3 linked regions of the Astyanax mexicanus genome follow. The protein of the gene in region 2 interacts with the protein of the main gene of each other region in a pairwise test. Links are inferred from orthologs where the notes say so. Each region holds a gene or a part of one and is shown on either strand. Other genes may lie near its edges.

Region 1 (5,885 bases), on a different chromosome or scaffold from region 2:
TGGAATGGAATTTTCCAAAAAATGAAACAGATTTTATTGGGCCCCATGACTTCTGATCTAAAAAACATGGAATGATGCACATAGCTGCCACATTGAAGTCCCTTTGTAAGCCTTTATTTCTTGTAAATTACCACTTATCTTCATAATCTTCATAATCTTAATTAAAGATAAACATAACAATAAATGCCTCTTACCTTATCAATGCAAGGTTTGACACCAATCATAATGGCCTCTCCAAAGATTTTCCCATCTTTACTGAGGGCTTTCCTCGCCTGCAGTTTAGACTGGTACTGGATATGCATCCAATTACCGGCATTAGACATCTGTTCATTAAAAAACACACACAGTTACAGAGTACACTGGAGCTAGGGCTGGGCTATATAGCAAAAAATCTCGTATTTAAATATGCTTATGAGCAAAATTGAGATGAGATTGTTTTCTGAAAAGAAGAAACGTACAATACAATATTTATATACTAATCTGAATGTATATGCATTGCAAAAAAAAAAAAAATCAAACAGTATGTTGTATGTGTCTAAGGAATATATATTCTTAATTAAATACTTACTACATGTTTAAGTATGTTCCCATACTGAGCAAACTGCAGCAGGATGTAGGAGGCTGAAGCTGGAGGGAACCTGCAGAAACCAAAACACCACAACTATAGTTCTCCACACAATGACATACAAATTCTAGATATCAACACAAACTGAGATGTTATTGTAAAGAAATAGAACTACTTTAATACTGTACTTAAGTACTAAAATGTATCTGTATCTACTGGAGTATTTTTACTACACTACTGTACTTAAGAACTGAAATACTGCATCTACTGGAGTATTATTTTTACTTCATTACTGTACTTAACTACTAAAATACTGTATCTGTATCTACTGAAGTATTATTCTTACTTCACTACTGTACTTAACTACTAAAATACTGTATCTACTGGAGTATTATTTTTACTTCATTACTGTACTTAACTACTAAAATACTGTATCTGTATCTACTGGAGTATTATTTTTACTATATTTTACTATACTCAAGTACCCGAACACTGTGACCCAGGTCTCGTCGAGCTGATCTTCTGAGGACAGCGCGTCTCCCTGAGTGAAGAAAGGATCCACCTGTGCAGGTGAGAGGGTGCTCTTCCTCTGCTGACTCAAACCCGCAGGACTGAACATACTTGCACCTGCAGCAGGAGAGACACACACTGTGTGTTTACATATGATCATGCTTCATTTTATTTAAAATGTTACAATACACCTGCTTGGAATCTATATTTAAAGCAACTCATAAGCTAAAACTGAAGTTACAGATAAACCCTCACCTGTACCAGGGGTTCCCATCACACCTGCTAGTGGAGTGTGCAGCACAGAGTAAGGCTGAAACACAAAATTTTACACATATTAGGATTTTACATTGCAATAAAATGGACGGTTAGGTTTCAGGTGCAGTGCCAGAACTCACCTGTTTGCATGATGCCAGGGGGGACATGGCGATGCCCGGACTGGTCAGGTCATCATAGATGCTTCTGACTGGAGGAGCACCGCTCTTGTCTTTGGGCGTGGGAACCACAGGCTGAGGAGGAGAACCACCTGATGGAACAGGCACTCATCAGTTAGGACACATAACATACTGAACTCCTTACACACAACTGACTGTACAGCAGGGAGGAATAATATAGATAAGGAAATAGCAGAACTTTGCTAAACATGACTTCGGTCTACAATTGACTCATAGAAAAACAACTGGTTTGCTTGGTCCGATTCCAGGTTATGTTCAGAGAGAGAGAGACAGAGAGAGAGAGCTCAGTCAGAAACTTCACTCCTTCATTTCTTTGGTTTTACTATGAGTGAATTAGCTACTGAGATCTGAGTTTCCTCTTCTGAAGTCCCCATTGCTCCACCAACCACTCGACTTTAGTAAAACTGATCCGGATCCTCTTTCAGAGGCTGTTTGTGTAACGTAAGTACATAAAGACGTGTGACCTGGCCAGAAGAACTACTCTCGCAAAAAGCGACCCGACACCCCAGTTTTTAGAATAAATATATTAGGCTTGGCAGGGATGGTCTTTCCAGCACACTGGTACCATTAAACACAGTATTTTGTCCATATTCTTCTCCACTAAGAAATGCTTGCTTTCAGTTTAGAGACAAAGTAATACAGACACTTTAAAGCTTTTTATCTTCTTGTGTTTACCTGCTAGGAGAGGAGACCTCATCTCTGCACCTCCTCCACTCAGGCTGATCGTTCTGGGCAGGGGGGTGGTGGGAGCTGGCAGGTCCCCCATCAGAAACCCGGGCAAGAACTGAGCCCCAGGGCCGGGCTTCGGGGAGGTGGGGGAGCCCAGAGCCATCGGTTCAAATCCTAATTAAAGATTTAAAAAAGGGAGGTTGGTGCGGTTTCTTTACTGTTTTATCTCTGAATACAACATTCATGAATCTCCATCAGTATAATGAGCTTCTTATCAGACTACTGTTCACTTCTAACCTAAATTTACCAATGTACTGGAAAATCCCTCTTTGCAAAATGTTCCTCTGGGCAGAGACTGGACCATTACAACATCCACAGACATTTACTAAACTTCACTGACTTTTACTTTCCTAATAACAGATGGGAATGTAATTTAATCTTGACCTAAAGAAATTAAAGTACTTAACGCCCATTTCAGTATCTCAATGGTGAACAAAATTATCACCCTTGTAATTCCGATATCTCCGTGCAATTCACAGAGAAAGCTTTGAAAACTGTGTGTGATTTTATAATGATTATTATTAAATAATTATACTCAAGTTATACTATTAATTTTAATATTTGTTTTACTGTTATATTGTTATAAAATAGGCTTTGCTGTTTTCTATTAACACATTAGAATAATATAGTTTATACACTACCAGTCAGAAGTTTGGACTCCTCATTTAGTGTTTTCTTTTTTTAATTTATTTATTCAATTTGTAAAGACATGAAAACTATAGAATTTTGTAGTAAACTGTTAAAAAAAGATTTGGTTATTTGAGCATGAAGGAAAAGCATCAACTATTGTTCAGCACCTCCAGGAACTCCTTCCTTCAAGATGCTGAGAAAACTATTCCTAAACTCTCTAACATTAAGACACTAAGATTAAAATACGTGTGTGCAAATCGGTCCTCAAAGAAAAATCTAAAACATAAAACATATTCTGATGTACTTAACACTTTCGGTTTAATAAATAAGTATGCATGTGTTCCCGCATGGGTATAATATAGTATTCAATAATAAATGTACAAGGTAAAAAAAAAATAAGAAGAAGAAAGAAAAAAACACTGAATGAGAAGAGGTGTGTCCAAACTTTTGACTGTTTATATACTAATATAAAAAGTTAACCTACAGTAGTGAGCAGTGTGTGAGTGTGTGAGTAGAAAGTTACTATAACTAACAGTAGTAATATATATTATTTTTTTAAGTTAGCTTGTTAGCTAAGCTAGGTTACATGCTAACGGTACAATGTAAAACTATTATTTAAATTATAGGGATTATTTTGTGCTTTAAGGTTGTATTAAATGATCTAATATGTGTGTAGTGACGCTATATTATGTTATTTTAATGATTAAAACTATTAAACGCGGTCACGAGGCTAAAGTTAGCTTAGCTTGTTGGAATTATCCGTTCCACCTTAAACGGTGCTGAAGTTAGACGGGTTATAATCTGCCGCCTGACTCAATATTTAAGGTGGAACGGACAATTCGAAACACAAGCCGGCAAGAGCCGAACACCGCTGATATTTACTGTTTTAATAAATAAACAGTACATCTGCAAACATCATAAACAGCAGAATAACCGCCCCGCACAGCCCGCAGATCCCGCACAGCCTGAATTAACACTTATAACCCTTAAATACTGAAACACCGACTCACCCAGCACTCCCTGCGCGTCCATGCCGCGGATTCAAACTCAGCCGGAAATGACGCGCGAGCCCCAGGATTGAAGTCCTCACGCGCGCGCGAAATAAGCCAACAATTAATAAATAAATTTAAATATTAATAAAATTAATGATTTAATAATTGATAAATACATGTATGCATGAAGGAATAAATACATTGATAAATAAACTATTAAATAAATAAATAAACAAAGTGAATAAATAAATACATAAACGATTTAAATAAATTGTTAAATTAATAATTTAATTAATAGATAAATAAATAAACGGAATAAATAAATACATAAACGGTTTCACTCATTGATAAATAAATAAATAAATAAATAAATAAATAGCTAGATAGACAGATAGTTTAGTGGACTATGGCTAATTTGCTAACTAAAATGCAGACTAAAAATAAACTCAATAAGATTAAACCACTATGTAATATGTATAGCTTGTAGAAAAAAAATGGTCTGGTGAAGGGCATAAAACATACCGAATTCAATTTAGGTCTGTAGAGTATGTTATTTTCAAATATTTCGCTTTCTGCTGGGATTTTTTTTTTTTTTTCAGATCTAACCAGCACCACTTAAATGCAGCATAAAATACAATACAAAACAGCCATCAGGATTATACAAATATATCGGTCTTAAAGCCAAAGTAGGCAGTTTGTAGACATATACTGTGCACTTCTGATGGAAAACGACTCATCTAATATGGGGATATTCTGGAGTAAACTGAACCATCTGAAAGACAATAGTTTAATGAATACACCTCCACTGAGAATTCACAGGTAATGAACCACGCAACTCCACCCCTCCTCCACTAGAGAGCAGTGTGCTCTCAGAAACAGACATTCACCGTGTTCAGTCGTCTCTATTTCTGGGATTTTAAATGGGTTGTTCTCTGATTGGTCATAATTAGTGGCTTTTTTACAATAATAAAATAACAAAAATAATGATTAGGAGAATAAAACAGCCACTAATTAGGACCATTCAGAGAACAGTGCATTCTCCACCAATAAAAGAAAAGCACATCTAAAAGTCCACCAACATGAGAATATCAGTTGTACAAATCCACCAATCACAGATTATTACATTAGAAAAGCACAGCCAAAAAAAATCCAGTGTTTATTATCATAGTTAGCCTATGGTTGAATGGGTTTTTTAAGTTTATTTGGGTTAGAGGTCGGTATGGACGTGGTGTTTCTGGGACTGTTACTGGGGCTTGCCAGAATGGGGTCCATCATTACAGTCACCTTAATCTCACACGGGTCCCATCTAAGCCCCATGTGCAGTTTACAACCCAGAAAGAGGCCTCTTCTGGTTCCACCACTGACTTTAATAGATAAACTGTCCAATAAATGTGTAAAAGCTGGTGCCTGGCCGAGGAGACTAGTTTCTTCTTAGGTTTACCTGCATTAAGATTGACTGTTCTGCACTTGGGTTCAACAACCCTCTGGGCTGGAGAGCTACTAGTGTGTAGCACTCCATCCTTATTACAAAATGCTCAATTAACAATGACTATAAAGACCAGAGCAGGCCAGAGAAGTTGCAGAGTTGCAATTTGATATTCTTGGACATTTTCAGGAAACCTCTGCTGTGCATTGTGGGTGAGCATTATCCTGCTGAAAAAGGCCAGTTAAAAGTCCTGTCATTAGAAGCAAGGATGTCCTGCACATATATTGCTGAGCTGTTAGTGCCCCTACTATCACTACTAGGAGCGACTGATTGTGGTATGCGATGGCTCCCCAGATCATCACACCAGAGGTTGGAGCAGTGTGATATTTGGATGAAAGCTGTGAAACTATAATAACTGTGTGCATTTACAGCTGCTCAAATATTGATAAATATATCTGAATCAGTGGGATATGAAATGGGGGTGTTTATCAGGCAGTTGATGGATTCACGTCTCCATTAGCGAGTGAGAAAATATGATATTAGTCGTCTGCAGCTGAATAAACACACAGAACTACAGTCTG
Region 2 (5,885 bases):
TAACACTTAAAACTTAACCCTCTTATTACCTATGGGCTCAATCTGACCCCGTTCAATGTTTAATGGTTGACTTTAGTTTCGTGATTAATATTTATCGTCTTTTCTTAATTTGACAAAGGCAATACATAAAAAATAAAGTGTTTCAATTTTTTTTATTTCAATATATGTTTTATTAAAGCTATTTATTTGCATAAAACATAAGAAATATCAATATTTTACACATATTTGTGTGGTAATAATGTCAAGGTCACAGTAACATTCAGTTTTATAATCTTCCTCTAAATGTAGTCTAACTTAAGGTCCAAACTCAACAAAACAATACTTAAAATACTTATATAATACTAATTTATATATATACTTATATAATACTAACATTATATTAATGCTAGAACATCTGGTAATTCATCAGCTAAACATAAAGAATGGGTGAATAAACTTTTGTAACATGTTTATTCAAATTTAATCATAATTTTAAATGGCTGGGTATTGACCCAGAGAATTAAGAGTGTTAGTAAATATGAGGAAAGCAGGAGGGTTAAAAATGATGAGTTTCTTTGATTTTACCAAATTGAAAAGCTCTGGAATATAATTAAGAAGAAGATGGATGATCACAAGCCATCAAACCAAGCTAAACTGTTTGAAGTTGCCAGGAGTGGCATAAATTTATCCAAAAGCAGTGTGTAAGACTGGTGGAGGAGAACATGCCAAGATGCATGGAAACTGTGATTAAAAAACAGGGTTATTCCACCAAATAGTGATTAAAAACAGGGTTGTTCCACCAAATATTGATTTCTGAACACTTTAAAACTTTATGAGTTAGAACTTGTCTTCTTTGTTTGTTAAAATGGCTGCAATGTCATGTAGGCTAATTTTGACAGATAAGACTTACAGCTCTCAGGAAACTGGGACCTACCTGTAAACTTCAGTAAGATTTATGGCCTGTTTAAAATAGCAGCCAATGCCTTACTGGATGTGCCCAGATTACACTAGTTAAATAAGCAAAGATGATCCGTTGTCCTCATTTCTTTAACACCATGTTACTAAAATATCTAAATTGTGAGGCTGCAGTAAAGTGTTTTCCTTTTCTGCCATCTAGTGGAGAAGAGGCTCTTTTCAGTGCAGTGCTAAATAAAATCATAAAAACATAAAAACTTGTATGTTTTCTTGTACATATAATAAACACAAGAAAAAAGTGCCAAACCTAGTTTGCCTGACTGCCACTGGCTACACAGAACTGTCAGTGTTTTTTTTAACAATAGGGAAACTGTTTGTTTTAAATTAAGATGCCAACAAAATATAACTTTTATGTTTCATGTCAAGTCAAGTCAAGAGGCTTTTATTGTCATTACATCTGAGTACAGGTACACAGTGTGATGAAATTACGTTCCTCCGGAACCATGGTGCAACATAGAACAACAAGCAATAGACAACATAAAATGCAGGAGTGACGACAGTGCAACATAAAATTATAAAATTATAACACTAAATAACAATAAATACAAAAGACGAGACAATTTAAAGACAGGACAGTGCAGTACCGATACGGTATAATAAAGTGTATAGTGGGGATAAGGTGCAGAGATGTGTGACATACTGTAACATATAGAACATATATAATCACAGCAGTTACTGAGGTAGAGTTTATAGTTTTTAAGAGTGCAGCAAATAAAGTCATGTCAGCCTCTGTGTGCTGACTGGGTGTGTGTGTGGGTGAAGTTCAGTTCTTTGTGAGTGTAAAGGGAGGGGGGGGGGGGGGTGTACAGTTTAGTTTTGTGTAAAGGGGGGGGGGGGGGGTTGTACAGTTTCATTCAACCCTGCTTGGTAAAGGCTCCAAGCATTGCTTTCGCTTTACAATGCAGATCAGGGTTGAAGGTAGGGGTGGGAATCACAGGGTGCATCATGATACGATATTACCAAAATAACAATGGTTTTAAGATACTGTGGTTCTGTGCTAATTCTCTCTGAAACTTCAAGCTGTGTTACTCATTAGAATAAAATACTCCTGAATATGCAAATACCAGGAATTATGTATTTACATAGATAGATACTTTATTTATCCCGAAGGAAATTTAGGCATCCAGCAGCAACAACACAATACAATAAGAAACATACTCAGCCAAATCAAAACACAGAAGAATAGAAAATATATAAGGCTATAAAAACTATAACAAACAAAAAAACCTAACTATACATGCGTCAGTTTCAAAGTTTTATACAATTTGACAACTAATATTCTTCCCTGCAGGTTTACCTAAAGGTGGAGTATGTAGTTAACTGCTGCAGCAGCACACAGAAGAGCGGAGGGAGAGGGGAGGGTTTAGTGTGGATGTGAGTGACTATAACTACTATTTTTAAGTCTATACTAGCTATATTCTCTACTAGTATATGTATGTTTAGACAGACTAGCTATGGTGTCCCTGCTGTACTGTTATTACTGTTCTGCTTCCTACAGTGAATTTAAGCTATTTTAGCAAACCTTCCCACAGCTCCAGAAACGCCACGCTGAGGTAATTATTTCCCTTTGCAAATTCCTCATGAGTGAAGCTACACCACAATTGTGTCTGATTGGCTGGTCTCGCGAGCCGACACGTGTAGCTCTGTCCTGTGATTGGTCTGTTCGCAAGGCTAGTAACAATAGCGTCACTCTGATTGGACGGCGACTGGGTGAGCTGGGCTCTGGCTTCACTGTGTGAATCTGGTTTAGCCTGTTACTGAGTAACTGTGGGATGAGTTCGCTGTAGAAATCGGTCTAGTTTTGTTTATTAAACTCAATATTGTACATAATTATAGCTTAAACAAATAATGCGAAGAGTCACGCTTTTTGTCAACGGCTCCTCCAAAAATGGAAAGGTGAGGATTGAAGAGTTCGTTACAGTGATGTTGAATGACTTTTGTGTAAAGGTGCAAAATCCAAGTTCAGAAAGTAAAAATCCTCTCCGGGATTTTGTTCTCAATGTCTTGGCGGATCGGCTGCGGCTCAAATCCCGGAGCGGATTTTTACTTTCTGAGTCCGCTGGCTCAACTAACTTAGCTAGCGCTAGCTAGCATGTATGGCTAGTCTTAGATAGAGGAAATCATGTTAACAGTGTTGTGTTTAGCTGGTATTTGTGTAAATAATGATAATCATGACCCGTGTTGGTGTGAAACTTGTGTTTATTTTGTAATTATAGCTATATTGTGTATTAATTTAACATAGCTAAGCTTAAGACTATAACGTTACATAGCATCTAATGGTCAGGCCCATCTAAGATAGCTTAGCTAACTAGTTGGGTAGCTACAGCTCTGAAAAAAAAAAATTAAGAGAGCACTTTATTTTCTGAATCAGTTTACCTGATTTTGCTATTTATAGGTATATGTTTGAGTAAAATGAGCATTATTGTTTTATTCTATAAACTACGGACAACATTTTAGTCAAAATTTTTCCCAAATTCCAAATAAAAAATATTGTCATTTAGAGGATTTATTCGCAGAAAAAGAGAAATGGCTGAAATGACAACAAAAAAGATGCAGAGCTTTCAGACCTCAAATACTGCAAAGAAAACAGCTTTATATTCGTAAAGTTTTAAGTGTTCAAGAAATCAATATTTGGTGGGATAACCCTGGTTTTTAATCACAGTTTTCATGCATCTTGGCATGTTCTCCTCCACCAGTCTTGCACACTGCTTTTGGATAACTTTACGTCACTCCTTGTGCAAAAATTCAGTTCAGCTTTTTTTTTTATGGCATTCATCATTCATCTTTCTCTTGATTATGTTCCAGAGGTTTTCAAAGAAACAAAATTTATTTAAGTGCTTTTATTTTTTTTCCAGATCTGTATACTTATTACCCAGCTAGCTAGCTAACTAACTACTAACCAACCAGTAACGTGTAAAGTTTATTTATCATTAGTTTTTTATAGCAATATGAGTACTACTATCTATAATTTCCCACATATATATTGATATTATGTCCCTGAAATGTCATATTATAACTTTACAACACTGATTGAAAGAAGGTCTGACTGCATAATATTGTCCTGAATAGGAGAAAATGTTAATTAAAACCGTTAATATATTTCATTGGATATGGAAGCACCTGTACATATTTCATTGTCGTTTCTTTAAGATATTTATTTAAATTATGAATATGAGTATGAAACATGTCATTACTTTATAGTGACCGTATCAATTATATTCTTATTATATTGTATATATAAATTCTTCCCCCTCATTTTATTTAATGAAGGCTTGTATTGTGAAAATATATTTTAAAGTTAACTGATTATTTTTTGTAAACCACCACCAAAAAAAAAAAAAAAAACTTTCTCAGAGGTAAGTTGGTGACCACTTGGTGTTTGTGTAGTCTTGTAGTGTAAACTGCTACAGCCAAAGGGATCATGTAGAAACAGAAAACCACGGCTCCAAAACAAACCTTCTGCATGGCCAGAGCTGTTTATGCAGAGTCTGACCACTTTCCCAATATTTCCCCAATATATCAGAAAGTTACTGTTCAACGCTAGAGGAAACTCAATGGGGGTGGAAAAAAGTCAAAAACTAAAATTATATGTAATAACTACTTGTTCTGAGTTTTATTTAATGTTATAAGCAAAAAAAAGTGTACCTGTATATTTCCATTGTTCGACAGCAAACAGGTTTAAGCAGTAAAGAATCTAGCGTACTGTGTTGAGATTTTCAGATATTTATAAATTCTGATTTTGCTCAGTTGCTTCATATGAACCTGTTCATCTTGGACTCACTTCAAGTGGGTATTCTCCTCTCTAGAGATTCTCTGGCATTGCTACTTTACACGTGGGTTTAGTTCTGGCATGTTCCTATGATTCTTTGCTCACTAAACTGCAGTGTGAAACCAAATCTAGCTGGACCAAATGTACACAATGTAACAAAGACCCAAGTCTTGGTGCAGACATTAAAGTGTAAAAACACCTTTAGTGAGCTGGATAATTTCAGTTCACATCAGTTTGAACCAACATTAGTTTGTTTCAGTAATCCTGACCTCTGCTTTTTTTTGTCTTGTAGGTTGTAGCAGTATATGGCACTCTGTCGGATCTCTTATCCGTTGCCAGCAATAAACTGGGAATCAGGGCTAGTAATCTGTACAATGGCAAGGGAGGCCTCATTGATGATATAGCCCTCATTAGGTAAGTTATGTTCCGATGGAGGTTCCTGGTACTGGTACTTATTGTTTGTCCTTAATCAACAAAGATTAATCATGTGTGACTCTCTGTTTTGCAGAGATGATGATGTGTTATATGTGTCTGAGGGAGACTCCTTTGTCGGTAAGTTGGTGTCATGATTAAGTTTGTCATTTCCTCATATACCTGAAACCTCACATGGGAAACAATGAAAGTGTCCTCAGAGCACGTATACACTTGTTTGTGTTTGGGTGTGTTTCAGATCCTCAGACTGAGGAAAAGGCTGCAGAGGACTCTTCAAGCTGCCACACTGATTGGTTGACTTTAAATATTGGTGGGCGTCTCTTCACGACCACACGGCAAGTAGAGTTCTTTTAAGATGCTGGGTGATGTTTTAAGGGTTTATAACCGTGTTTGAATAGTTAAAAAACGGTTACAAGCTTCAATTATTTTTGTTTTAGCTGGACTAGCCATAAGTACTAATTTACAAATGTTTGTGGACACTCCTTTAACTTTGAGTCCTGTAGAGAAGCATTACCAATAGAATAGAACTCTGGAGTAGAACCTATTGATACCTGACCATTGCATAATGTCAGTCATGGCCTAGATTAGTATAAAGTCTACTAGCATTGAGCTGTGGAGCAGTAGAAGAACTGTGCTCTCTAGAATGATGAGACTCCATTAGTGCTTGGTGGTATGACCAAAAATGCATATCATGGTATTTTGCAAGATTCTGGCGGTTTCACTGTATATC
Region 3 (5,885 bases), about 17 Mb from region 2:
AAAAGAAGTGGTGCTGTGTTGAAATTTGACTCCCCTTGGGGTGCAGGTGCATCATGCAGTAGTATGGGTACAACAGAATAAACTAGTGATTCTGTATCTACTGTAACTCTAGATTTACATTTATATATAATAGAAATAAAAGGAATACGAGGGGAATCTGTTACGAGCAACACACAAACCTTGGTGCAGACTCAAATTTGAACTTTCAGGTTTAAAAACGCCCTTAATCATATTTTTAATTCTGTATGTAAGAGTTTGGACATCAAATCCTTCAGTAAATACTTAAATCAGTTAACTTACAATTGACCTCTTGTCAGTACTGTAGTCAGTTATATTAGCTAAACACCTAGCATACAATAGAGAGGACAAATCACAGTCCAGCCTGTTATCATTCACCATCAGTCACTCACTCAGGAAACCAAAAGCAGCCACAGTTCCTTCCTAGTGTTGCCCAGCATTCTGTACCTCAGTTAATTACCTAATTATCAAAAATCAATCAGTCAATCAAACAACCAATCATGCTCACCTCTAGTGAGGGTGAAGCGCTTAAACACACCTCCCAGTCATCCAGCGCCAGCTGATAGAGCTGCAGACTCTGATACACCTCTGCTCGACATACTCGCAGTCTAACATTGCCAGGGTCTGGAAAAGAGACAGAAGAGAGAGAATTTATAATAATATTAACAATAATGACAACTTAATATACTAATAATATTACTTAATGTAATGTAAATACATGGACAAACAGATAGATACATAGACTGTTCCTTGTATTACCACACACTACCTCACTCTCTTACTGTACCTCACTCTGCCTCCAGCCTCATGATGCTACAAGAGCCCACTCTGCAGTGTAAAGAGCTACCTCTGTTGTTGCACGCAGGCAATGCAGTTTACCTTGCTGTTATTTAACATTTTTTGATGTGTTTGGTCTGTGTGTGTGTGCTGCAGTCTAAGGGTGTCCTTGTCAGCCCTCATGTTCAGAAACAGAGTTGAGGAATTTAAGCGTCAGCCTTCAGATTAAAAAAAAAAACATACATTTATTCAAAAGCGCCCAAAACAGAGGGCAGACTAGGACACCTTGATAATGCAGCTTGCTCACCCACCCACACACACTCACAGAAGCTGGCAGTGGCAGTGACACACCACTCACTCCATGAGTCATGATTCTGATCATTTACAGCAACATTATACCATTGCTGAAAACATGCAGAGAGGAATACATATAATTAATTGCATAATAAAATAATTATGTGATTACATGACTCTAATGCAAGGAAACCTTGGCCAGTAGGTTTGACCTGAAGTGCCCCGTGGCCTGTTTCTCGGTGTACACGCAGTGTGGTGACCCTGAAGATGACCGATAACTGACCTATAAAGTGTTACAATGTGCTTTCTCTCTACATGTGGTCAGTGAGTGGAAGCTAGGGTGCGCCAAATATTTGGCAACCAAAGGTTTTGATCCAAAAATGTCCAAAAAAAGCACTTTTTGAGTTCAAAATATGTGAAAAAAAAACAATTAATACTAAACTCTGACTAATTTACGGTACTAGTCAAAAGTTTGGACACACCTTCTATGCTTCTTCAATGCTTTTCCTATATCTTTCATTTATTTTTTTATACTGTATATTATAATTAAAGACATAAATATAATTAAGGAAACATATGGAATTACGCAGTAAATGGTAAAAAAAAAAAGTGTTTGTCCACAATCCCCTAACCTAAACCTGATCAACTGGGATGGATGAGCTGGAGCTTCACAGCGTGAAGGAAAAGCAGCAGCTATTGTTCAGCACCTCCAGGAACTCCTTCAAGACACTGAGAAAACTATTTCAGGTGACTCTCCCTCATGAAGACACTGAGATTAAAATACCAAATGTGTGCAGATCTGTCCTCAAAACTAAATATGCTGTTTAAAAAAAAAAAAGTATAAATCATCTTCTGGTTTGTTTAACACTTTTAGTTCACAGTATAGTTCTGCATATATTCCTGTATGGCTTTACTTAATTCAATATTAAATGTACAGTGTAAAAATAAATCATAAAAAGAAAGAAAACTAATTGAATGTGAAAAGGTGTATCCAAACGTTTGACTGGTACTGTATATTGTGTCATATTGTTGTATTGTGCTGCATCTGCTGGGATGTTAAAAATGTTGACAGTTCCATAAATACTTTACACTGTAGCTAGAAATTGTTCTAGGTGATTCTTTTAAAAAATCCAGACAAATGTATGTAAAGGTGAAAGAATTGGCAACATTAATGAAACATTTCAGTCATTTTGTTCAGTTTCAGCCTGAGAAAATTAATTTCAGTTTATCCTTAGTGGAAGCACAAGGTGTTTCTAATAAAGTGGTTAGTGAGTTTAAGCACAAGGTTGTGAGCAGGTGTTTCTAATAAAGTTGTCAAAATGCTAGTGAGTGTATATATTCTATTTATGTAATGGCATTTGGATATACATTATAATTATATAAAGCATACCTACATACAAGTAAGCATGTAAACTATTATGAGTAAAATATTAGTATCAGCATTATTCATACGTCGTATTATTGTTATTACTACCATTAATAAAGGCCTCACTTTCTCTTCACCTCATGTCACATTACAAAACTCAACACTTAACCTTACACAACCTTCATCTCTCCACGCATGCGCGCGTAAAAACGCGTTTCGTAAGGCTGGTGGGCGGAGTCACGTGAATCCAGGAACGACGTGGGCGGGGCCGGTTCTCTGAAATGTTGGTCAGTAGAACTCGGGCGATGTGAATAAATTATGTAATCGTTTAGCCTGGAAAAGCCCAAACTGTGTGGGGGTTCTCCACTTTTGTCAGTAATAAAGGACAACAGTGCTGTTTTATATCATAATTTGTTTAGGGCGAAGGATAAAGACGAAATAAGTTAAAAACACAGCTCACCGCTTTTTAAAAGCTCACTGGCCAGCGCTGCAGCCTCCTCCCAGTGTTTACTCCTCATCAGCCCCTCAGCCTCTCCAACCCGCCGGGCTTTCCTCACCTCCTCCGGGAAACACTTCTCCAGCAGTCCGCTCAGAACCACGTTGGGTTTGTGTTCTGAAGGGCTCCGGTCCATGTTCTCGCTACACACCTGGCACCGGGGCACCAGTATCCGCTGTAAACAGCCTCTGCAGTAGGAATGTCCACATGCCGCGGTCACAGGTTCCCACATGAACCTGCCACACCCGGGACAGTCAAACATACAGCCCGAGTCCCCCACCTGTCCCCGGTTCCCCTGGGTCAGCAGAGTCGCTACAGTCTCCCCGGCGTTCCCCTGCTTGTAGTTCCGCAGGATACAGTCCACCAGCGCGCCCAGCTGCTCCGGCCGGATGGGGTCGTGCCTCAGTGCCGCGCAGAACATGTCTATCGCCTCTTTCAGGCGGTTCTGGGACGCCAGTGAGTCCGCTTTCCGCAGTATCACGCTTTGCGGGTCCACGCTGGAGTCCTCGCCCCACTCCGCCTCTCCCTGCGCCGCTATGTAGAAGCCTGCTGCCCGGGCCTCCGTCGCCTGCGCCCCGCTGCGTTTCTCCACCGACATGCTGGAGCGGTCAGCCCGCGTATTAGTGTTATAACTCTAGTATTATCACCGTAATAACTTCAGCACAGAGATATAATAACTGTTAATAGTATCACAGCCATCCTTGCCCAGCGCGAGAACAAGCGCTGAAAGCGAGTTACATAAAAAACACGGTCACGTGAGGGCAGATTCCTGCGCTCCTATTGGTCAGAACTCGACGATTACAAAACGTGCGCTCGGTGAGTTTTGTAACTCTGGAAATGAGGCGTCACACAATAGACAGACGGCACGGTGTACCGGGACACTGAAGTACAACCAGACCCTGACAAATCCCACAACATCACAGAGTTATACAGATAACAGAGTTACCGACCTGTCACAAAGTGTAACTTTTCACTTAACTCAGCCAAAAGGTTAAATAAAGCACAATAATCTAATAGGCGAGCTATTACAAATCATCAACTTGAAAACATGTCACATATTCAATAATGTTGTAATGCGTCGTTGTATAATTAGCACACATTACATTTGACATTTTATTAGTGTTATACTACAGTTACATTATGTAGTAAGTAACATAATAGAGGAAAATGATGACTGATGCACCTAACATCTGAGGTTACTCATAGGGCCCATTCCCTTCCCCTATACTCTAATCTCATCTCTTAAGTAGCTTTTTGATCCAATCAGCAACACTTAACCACACATGAAGATCTGACACCTAACACCTGAATTGCTGTGGCTGTGGCTGTTTCAGCAATATTTGAGACAACCACAAAATACCTTGGTTAGCCTTCCCATCACAAATACTCATTCATTAATTATATTACATTATATTACATTGGGCAGACGCTTTCGTCCAAAGCGATGTACAATAATGATGTACATTAAGTAGTAAAAGACATAGAAGATCAAGTTAAAAAAAAAACATTTAAGACTGGGCCTAAAAGAGGCCAAAGGGAAATAATGGGATATAAGAGAGTAAGTGCTCTTTGAAGAGCTCTGTCTTCAGGAGTTTCTGAAAGATAGAGAGTGATGTTCCTGATCTGGTAGTGGAAGGTAGTTTGTTTACATTAATAGTGTTTATTACATTTACGTATGCAAGTGCACAGTTTTGTTGCATTTCTTGATGTTCTTACAATAATTGTGTTATAATTAAAATGAGTTTCTTTGATTTTACCAAATTGTAAACCTCTGGAATATTATCAAGAGAAAGAATAACCACAAGCCATCAAACCAAGCTAAACTGCTTGAATTTTTGCACCAGGAGTGGCATAAAGTCATCCAAAAGCAGTGTGTAAGACTGGTGAAGGAGAACATGCCAAGATGCATGAAAACTGTGATTAAAAACCAGGGTTATTTCACCAAATATTGAGTTCTGAACTCTTAAAACTTTATGAATATGAACTTGTTCACTTTGCATTATTTGAGGTCTGAAAGCTCTGCATCTTTTTTGTTATTTCAGCCATTTCTTATTTTCTGCAAATAATGCTCCAAATGACAACATTTTATTTGGAGAGAAATGTGAGAAATGTTGTCAGTAGTTTATAGAATAAAACAACAATGTTTATTTACTCAAACACACCTATAAATAGCAAAATCAGAGAAACTGATGCAGAAACTGAAGTGGTCTGTAAATTGCTTCCAGAGCTGTATATAAAAATTTTTATAAGTGTCAACAAACTGTCAGAGGAATACATATAATTCAACATGAAATTTAGATAATAAAAGTAAACAATTTTATTCAGAAATTTAAATGAATACAGTTAAACTAAAAAAAAAAACATAAATTAACATAATGTTCATTGAAACCTTTTTTCTTAACTTTAAGTTTATAAAATTAAACCTTCTTATTTTTTTTTATTTTAAGTTAAAAGAAAATGAATATTTTTTCTTCTTTTATTCCTGTCAAAACATTAGCACAACAAGCGTTAGCTTAGCAGCACCAGGCTAAGCGTCCCATAGCAACACAGACACGTGAGTGTTAGTCGGCGAAAACGCAAAAAAAAAAAAAAAACAGCTATGTGAGGAACATGTCGGCGATTTTGGCTGATATTTATTTTATTTCATCAGCGGGAACTTTAATCCGTAATAAACGGTGATTTTTAAGGCAGTGAAACAAACGAAAAAAGGTCCGGGTTTGTTTTAGGGCAGTGTGTCTGCGCATGCGCATTCAACTCCCAGCTCCTGAGTTATGAGAGCACTGGAATGAGAGTCATGTAACATTTAGGTCAAATTGCAAAACACAGATCAGTCCAGATTATTTGTTTGTAATAAATATAGACTCTGCGGCTTCTTCTCTCTGGATTTCTTACTCTTTGCTTTTATTCAGGGTTTATAATGTTAGTGTATAATGT

What was found.
Region 1: the proteins of kctd9a (region 2) and nup35 interact in binary tests that used the Homo sapiens proteins (3 or more experiments, as listed by UniProt). The two-hybrid records come from large-scale screens. The link is inferred for Astyanax mexicanus from reciprocal best matches to the Homo sapiens genes KCTD9 and NUP35.
Region 3: the proteins of kctd9a (region 2) and lonrf1l interact in binary tests that used the Homo sapiens proteins (3 or more experiments, as listed by UniProt). The two-hybrid records come from large-scale screens. The link is inferred for Astyanax mexicanus from reciprocal best matches to the Homo sapiens genes KCTD9 and LONRF1.

The regions. Positions count from the first base shown.
Region 1 is NC_064418.1:46,394,103-46,399,987, forward strand, and holds the start of nup35 (nucleoporin NUP35), read right to left. Parts: upstream 3,954-5,885; 5' UTR 3,919-3,953; coding exon 3,897-3,918; intron 2,371-3,896; coding exon 2,203-2,370; intron 1,599-2,202; coding exon 1,471-1,598; intron 1,386-1,470; coding exon 1,331-1,385; intron 1,193-1,330; coding exon 1,051-1,192; intron 639-1,050; coding exon 569-638; intron 324-568; coding exon 195-323; intron 1-194. UniProt on the Homo sapiens protein: Functions as a component of the nuclear pore complex (NPC).
Region 2 is NC_064419.1:25,585,023-25,590,907, forward strand, and holds the start of kctd9a (BTB/POZ domain-containing protein KCTD9a), read left to right. Parts: upstream 1-2,679; 5' UTR 2,680-2,802; coding exon 2,803-2,850; intron 2,851-5,015; coding exon 5,016-5,137; intron 5,138-5,231; coding exon 5,232-5,275; intron 5,276-5,393; coding exon 5,394-5,490; intron 5,491-5,885. UniProt on the Homo sapiens protein: Substrate-specific adapter of a BCR (BTB-CUL3-RBX1) E3 ubiquitin-protein ligase complex, which mediates the ubiquitination of target proteins, leading to their degradation by the proteasome.
Region 3 is NC_064419.1:8,756,478-8,762,362, reverse strand, and holds the start of lonrf1l (LON peptidase N-terminal domain and ring finger 1, like), read right to left. Parts: upstream 3,642-5,885; 5' UTR 3,550-3,641; coding exon 2,916-3,549; intron 643-2,915; coding exon 527-642; intron 1-526.